2 linked regions of the Callithrix jacchus genome follow. The protein of the gene in region 1 interacts with the protein of each later gene in a biochemical or structural test. Links are inferred from orthologs where the notes say so. Each region holds a gene or a part of one and is shown in the gene's direction. Other genes may lie near its edges.

Region 1 (3,500 bases):
TGTGGACCTCCAGGTGCCAGCATCTGCATGCTGGGCCCCAAAGGGCTTTTCTAGAACCAGTGCATGGGGCAAGCAGGAAGTGCCTGGGAATTAAAGCCCCCTGGGAGCAGCTCTTAAAGACTGACAAGTTGATGTATAAACCCATCTGCTCCCTTGACCCCTGGGAGAAGCAGTTTTGAGATGTGAGTTTTAGACCATCTCAGCTTTTCCTCATAGGACTCAGCTCCAGTCACTACCATAGAAGCCCCTGTGCAGGCTGCTGCCCCGCGTCCGCTGTCTCACTTCCCCACTCCCCTGCTGGTGTCTCCCTCACTTTCCAAACAGCCTCCTTGCACTTGAATCCTTGTCCCAGGGTCTGCTTCTGGGAAACCAAAATGAAGACAGCTCCTGCCCACAGAGAGCTTTTATTCTAATAAAGAGAGAGACAGAGTGGCCAGGCTCACCAATGGCCCAGGCCCAGAAAGGCTTCCTCACACATGTTCTTGATTTGTTTTTCTCTTCCCAGGACTATCCTTCCTACCCCGGCTTCCCCCAGAGCCAGTACCCCCAGTATTATGGCTCATCCTACAATCCTCCCTATGTCCCGGCCAGCAGCATCTGCCCTTCGCCCCTCTCCACGTCCACCTACGTCCTCCAGGAGGCAGCTCACAACATCCCCAACCAGAGTTCTGAGTCACTTGCCGGTAAGTGCAGTCACTGTGGTGGGCCATTCATGGCCGTGGTCTGAGAGCTTCTGTGAAGGAGGGACCCAGATATAGGTCCCATTTGTGACAGACGGGTTATCCGAGGGTCATTCATGGGTGTGGTCTGAGAGCTTCTATGAAGGAAGGACCCAGAAGTGGGTCGCAGTTGTAACAAACAGGCCACCTGAGGGTTAAATCCATCTCTCAGGCATGTCTTGTTGGCCTTTCTGTTTGTGCCTGTTTAATTGCATTTATGTTTAAAAGTCAGAAAATTTTATTAATACCTAAAAATTCTAATTTCTGGCTTCTCTTGAAAGAAGATCCATAGTAGCCACATTCCCAAGGAATGCCACTTGATTAAAACTAAGTGTGTCTGCTGTTTCAGAAAGGACTCACCCAATTCCACATCTAGCCAGCTCACCCCATGTTCATTACTGCCTGGTCTGTGTAGGCCTTGCAGTTGATGCGCCATGGTAGTATTTAAAATATTACCGGCCGGGCACAGTGGCTCACGCCTGTAATCCCAGCACTTTGGGAGACTGGGGCAGGGGATCATCTGAGGTCAGCAGTTCGAGACTAGTCTGGCCACATGGTAAAACCCTGCCTTTACTAAAAATAGAAGCCTGGGCATGGTGGCTGACATCTGTAATCCCAGCACTTTGGGTGGCCAAAGCAGATGGATCACTTGAGGTCAGGAGTTTGAGACCAGCCTGGCCAACATGGTAAAACCGTACCTCTACTAAAAATATAAAAATTAACCTGAGTGGTGGTGGGCACCTGGGTAGCACCCAGCTACTAGGGAGGCTAAGCCAGGAGAATCATTTGAACCCAGAAGTCGGAGGTTGCAGTGAGCTGAAATCACGCCATTGCACTCCAGCCTGGGTGACAAGAGTGAAACTCCAGCTCAAAAAATAAATAAATACACACATGCATGTGTCTTTATGGTAGAAAAATTTATTTTCCTTTGGATATGTACCCAGTAATGGGATTGCTGGGTTGAACGGTAGTTTTATTTTAAGTTCCTTGAGAAATCTTCAGGCCGCTTTCCACAGTGGCTGTACTAATTTACATTCCCATGAACAATGTATAAGCATTCCCTTTTCTTTATAACTTTGCCAGCATCTGTTATTTTTTTGACTTATTAGTAATAGCCATTCTGATTGGTGTGCGATGGTATATCATTCTGGATTTGATTTGCATTTCCCTAATGACTAGTGATACTATTTTTTCACATGCTTGTTGGCCACATGTACGTCTTTTTTGAGAAGTGTCTGTTCATATCCTTTGCCCATTTTTTAATGGGGACGTCCTTAAGGATGTTCATTTCTGATGGCACAGCAGTTTTAGGAAACCCTTTTTATTAGCCAGGACTTTTTTGCTTCAAAAGATACAAGAAATCCAATTCAAACTAGTTTAAACAAAAAAAAAGAGGAATTTTTAGGCATATGTAATCAAGGTGTACAAGGGTTTAGGGCTGGGTCCAGGTGTTCCAATGTTGGGACTTAGTCTCTCTCTCTTCCTTCTGGCTCTGAATTTTCCTGGGTTTATTTCATTCTCAGGCAGGTTCCTCCCCTGTGGTGGCAAAGATGGCCACCAGCTACCCAGAGCTTAATCCTGTTTGCTAAGCCACCTCAGCAAACAGAGTTCCTCCTCCTCAGCCATTTCTGCAAAAGTCCCAAGTAAAGGTTAGGTCTCATGCTCATCCCCAAACCAATCTCTGTGGTCAGTGGAATGGAATGCTGGGATGAGGCAACAGACTTTGGGCTCATGCCTATGGCTGGAGCCGGAGTTGGGGTCTGCCTCACCTCAACTAGCAGAGACTGAGAGTGAGGAAGAGGTGATCACCTCAAAAAAACCCAGATCACTGTAACTACAAGAAGAAACACTGGGTAAACAAAAATATATATATATATATCCACAACCTTTATATGGATCCCATCTACACTATGAGCGTCACGTGGCAGAGTCCATGTCTGTTCCCCTCTCTGGTCACAGAACTTGGTATGTAATATCCCTATGCAACTGACGCACCAGCTTATGCATTCAGTCATTCATTCCACAGATCTGCTGTGCACGTCTTCTCTTTTACAAGATGGTTTTGGCTTATCAACATTAAATAACATGGCAGCAATACATTAGAATGTCAGTAGATACCACTGAGTTTTTTTCTTTGTCTTCTTTTCTGAAGCCTACTGAGTTTCAGAAAAAAGGCTTTGCAGAAGCTAAGCTAGTGGGGTGGAGATGGTGTGGAGACAGTCAGGAACAAATTTGAATTGGTTGATTGTTAGCAAAGGAACAATAGGGAAGACCCACCTGTTTTGTTCCTGGGGTTCTTGGTGTAGCTATTGATTTTAGCCCTTAAATTTTCCATCACAGGGAGTGAGTGAGTTATCCTTACTTTGACAACAAATGAAGACAATATGGCAAAGCATGTTAGATAAAGTCAACTTTTTAAAAGGTTTAGGGCTTGGGCATTGATTTTGGTATTGATCCCATCTCAGAGTATTTAATGAATGCATAGTACCTATTTGACAACATTCTTTGAAGAGTTTGAAGTGTAACAAAGTTTTTCTCTGTCATCATCTTGAATTATCTTTGGCCACCCTGATTTTCAGAATGTGGTTCTTCCAATCTCATTTCAACAATGGAGAGGAAAACAACACTGATGAGAAATTAGGGCAGAGAGGAACTATAAGCAGGAAATCATCAAGTATATGCCACTATCCGTCTATAATTCAATGGTGAGCTGAAGGGCAAATGAAAAACTTGCTTCCCCAGAATTTGGGTTTTGTGGGAAAGTTCTCTATTCCCATCAGG
Region 2 (4,115 bases), on another chromosome or scaffold:
TGCAAATGAGGCTTAAGATAATTACAACTTCATTTGTTTGTGCAGTTTTACTAAGCATTCTCCACACATAAACAAAACAGCAGATGATGAGACTTACATTGCAGTACATCTCTCACTCCCTGGCAGCAAAATAGGCCAGCATTGCAACACACACACACACACACACACACACACACACACACCCTCTTTATTTAATCTTCTTGGAGCTGCTGTCGTCCTCGCTTTGAGGGCAGTGTCCCTCTCAGAGCAGGGCAAGGATTATGTTACAACCGGACGGTTATTGGAGCCTGGCACAGTTTTATTTAATTTACACCACATCCAGCGCCTTTCGTACGAGGTTCCCAAAGCATTTTTGCTAATAGCAAGTAAAGCTTCTCGGCATTCCTCAGTAGCAAAGGTGGCAATGGAAATCACAACCACACAGATGGGAAAACTGAGTCCAGAAAAGCTTCAGGAACCTGCTGGTTTCCATTGCAGAACACTAAGATAATAGATTACAAATGAATGCTCGGAGACTCTATGTGCTCAGCAAGAGTGCTCTAAACAGCTCTTCTCCTGGTCTCAAATCGTGGAGGCCCTTTGTGAACGAGGGAAATGCTGTCCAACTGGGAGTACTTGTGCCCTTTGGAGGGTGGTGTGGGGCAATGGGGGAGGGAAGGGGAAATTGGGTTCGGCTCCTCGAGCCGAAGCCAACCCAAAAAGAAGCCACTCTTCCAGAGACTGCAAGCAGGGACCCTGGTCTGCTCTTGAATTATTTATCGCGTTCCATAGCTATTCATCAATCCATTATTTATTCATTCCAACATTAAAGTAATTAAATATGAGCTCACCGGGAAAGGGCAAGTCTACAAGGGAGGAGGACAAGAGTACGGAGGGAGAGGGGAGAAACGAAGGTTTGAAGTCATTGATTTGTGCGGAGTTGTGCCCGACTCTGGGTAGGTAATGCTGGCAACGAACGGGTCCAGCCTTGCAGGGTCCGGACGCGCTCACCCACTCCCTACCTCCCCCGACCTTCGCAGCGCAGCTCAGACCCCAACTGGCTTCCCACCTTTCCTCTTCCTTCTCCTCCCACCACTCCCTTCCCCCGCAGCCCTAGCAACACTCCCTCGCCCCCCCCCCCCCACCACACACACCACCACACACACCACCACAACTCCTAGCTCCTCAGCCTCGCCCTCCCCGAGCTGGGCGGTGCGGCCTCGCTGCCGGCCGGGCGGCGCGCTGGCTGGCCAGCCCCGGATAGGCGCCTCCCGCAGCCAATCAGCGTGCCGGGAACGCTGCGCGCTTTAAGGCAGCTGCCGGGAGAACAGAAACCAAGTTCCCCGGCAACTAGCAGCAGCCACCGGGCGGGAGGTCCGAGGCAGCAAGGCCCTAAAGGCTACTGAGTGCGCCGGCGGCTCCTTGTTCAGCGCGTGCCCTACCCTTCTGCCTCCTCTTCCTTGGCCGTCCACCTCCAAGTTCCGATTCGGATTTTCGCCGTTGCAAAATCTAGGGAGGAGGTTAGGAACAGCCGCGCCCCCATCCCCTGCGGCCGCCGCCCCCCGCTTCTCGGCTCTGTTCCCAGCCGCGTGCGCCTGGGCGGTGAGCCCCGGCAGGCCCCAGCCATGTCGATGCTACCGTCGTTTGGCTTTACTCAGGAGCAAGTGGCATGCGTGTGCGAGGTTCTGCAGCAAGGCGGAAACCTGGAGCGCCTGGGCAGGTTCCTGTGGTCACTGCCCGCCTGCGACCACCTGCACAAGAACGAGAGCGTGCTCAAGGCCAAGGCGGTGGTCGCCTTCCACCGCGGCAACTTCCGTGAGCTCTACAAGATCCTGGAGAGCCACCAGTTCTCGCCTCACAACCACCCCAAACTGCAGCAACTGTGGCTGAAGGCGCATTACGTGGAGGCCGAGAAGCTGCGCGGCCGACCCCTGGGCGCCGTGGGCAAATATCGGGTGCGCCGAAAATTCCCACTGCCGCGCACCATCTGGGACGGCGAGGAGACCAGCTACTGCTTCAAGGAGAAGTCGCGGGGCGTGCTGCGGGAGTGGTACGCGCACAATCCCTACCCCTCGCCGCGTGAGAAGCGGGAGTTGGCTGAGGCCACTGGCCTCACCACCACCCAGGTCAGCAACTGGTTTAAGAACCGGAGGCAAAGAGACCGAGCAGCGGAGGCCAAGGAAAGGTACGCGGCGTGCTTCCCGCGACTCGGGCAACCCTAGGAAACCTTCCTTTCCCCTCCACCCCCTCCCGCCCCCGCAGGCACCCGTCACCAAGTCCTCCCCGCTCGCCGGAGCCCGTCCACCGGGCGGCGCGCAGGCTTCCGCCGCGCTGCTGCGAAAGTTCATGAACTCTGAGGTTCCTTGCTAAGGATGGGGCCTCATTTGCTTTGAGCACCCGCGAGTGGGTTTCTCTGGGATGTGAGTGTCGGGAAATACTGGCTCTAGGTTTGTTTTTCATGCCTCCCTGGCTGGCCGCGGCGGGGAGTGATGGGTGGAGAGTGAGTTTCTAAATCAATGGGCAGGGAAGCGTTGAGTGGTGTCGCAAGGAAAGAGGTTCGGTGGGAGCTGATGTTCTCGAACCTCTCTCCTCTTCCTCCCCAGGGGGGTGAAGCTGGCCTGAGACATTGGCCTTGCCCTCACTCCCGCCCGGTTTTACACGGCTCTCTCTTGATAGTCTTTTGAATCAGGTCGCCTGCTTCATTTTTCACTAGCTGGACAAAGGAAGGAGTCTTTTAAAAATACACCAAAAAGAGAGTCTTGGGGAGAGTTGGCGCTGCATTTACTTCCCGGAGCCCCAAATTCAGAAAGGGTCGATCCTCGCCGTGTTCGCTCGCTCGTGGCCCGGCGCTGCAGCCGGTCGGTCTGGCTGTCCGCGCCGCTTGCCCAGACGAGGACCTTAGGGGTCTCCTGTCGCAGCCTTCTCTCGCACTGGAGCTCAGAAGGCAATATTTTAAAAATTGGTCTTTAACTTCCCCCACCTCGGGGCAACACCTTCATCACCTGGCCAGGCTCCTTCCGTTTTCTGTAGAGTTTCCGACAGAGATTCAGAAGAACGGTGGGGAGGTGGCTGTAGCGCGGAGAGCGCTCCGCGAAGCCGAAGAGTTTGGGGAAAACCTGAGCGCAGGGGCTGGTTAGGTTCCTTTGTTTGCTTCCAAACCTGGGGGCCGAAGGTCTTGCTTCCTTTCCTCTCTGGGTGGAAAACCACAGAGCCAGGATAAATTCAGCTGAAATGGGCTCGCCGGGAGACAGAGACTGAGGATAAGGGAAAAGAAAGGAGGAGACAGACAGGCGCTAGGAGTCGGGAATACAGGGCGAGCACTCGGAAGGCGAAAGCCGCGAGAGCAGCGAAATCCTGAATTTAACCGGGACAGAGTGCCGGGACCTCGCCCGCTGGCAGCTTGTGCCGGCCGGCGAAGTTTCCCTTGCCCAGAAAGGATGGGTTGCTTTGGATGTTGGTAAACAGTTTGAGAAGGGGCCACGAGGGGCTGAAGAGTTAGCAAGTAACACAGAAACAGAGATTATATAGTTGCAGTTAGCCTTTAGTTATAAAACGGCCGTCCTGTAAGCCAGGCCCTAGGGCCGACTCCAGATGAAATCAGAAAGACTGGCTGCGCTCCTTGTGTTTACTCGGTCACTGGGCCGCTCTGGGCACCACTTCCCATGACCTGTCCTGTGTCTGCAAAACCACCAACTCTGGGCTGGGGCAGGAAAACTGGATGTTTAATTGTCTCATACTGGAATAAGGCAATGGGCTTGATTCACCCCAAACATTTGTGCATTAGACTCTGTCCTCTATCATTTCTTTATCACCAACATCCATTTATTGAAAGATTTTCAAACTTAGTTACATTTAAACATGGTGTTAGTTGATATGTATTTAAATGTAACTGCTGGAACAAAATTGAAAAGGTATATTTTGTATGTTTCAAGTAAATCCTGCTAATCTATCACTTCCTGAAATCTGGAAGAGAAAATAACCTGGCTCCCAACAGGCGGCTCTGTCCGTAGCTCTCCGTTTCTCTGACTTCTCACCTCCCCCATTACCCTTGGGGATGGGTGGAAGGGTAGAGCTCTTCCATTTGGGTTGGTGACAGATTGCACAATGGCCCTTTCCTCCTTCCAGCTCCCCTCCCT

What was found.
Region 2: the proteins of EYA2 (region 1) and SIX1 form a complex in vitro, tested with the Homo sapiens proteins (2 studies listed by IntAct, with this or other methods). The link is inferred for Callithrix jacchus from reciprocal best matches to the Homo sapiens genes EYA2 and SIX1.

What each region holds. Positions count from the first base shown.
Region 1 is NC_133506.1:42,280,536-42,284,035, forward strand, and holds part of EYA2 (protein phosphatase EYA2), read left to right. Parts: intron 1-505; coding exon 506-683; intron 684-3,500. UniProt on the Homo sapiens protein: Functions both as protein phosphatase and as transcriptional coactivator for SIX1, and probably also for SIX2, SIX4 and SIX5.
Region 2 is NC_133509.1:95,380,723-95,384,837, reverse strand, and holds the start of SIX1 (homeobox protein SIX1), read left to right. Parts: upstream 1-1,315; 5' UTR 1,316-1,604; coding exon 1,605-2,164; intron 2,165-4,115. UniProt on the Homo sapiens protein: Transcription factor that is involved in the regulation of cell proliferation, apoptosis and embryonic development. Plays an important role in the development of several organs, including kidney, muscle and inner ear.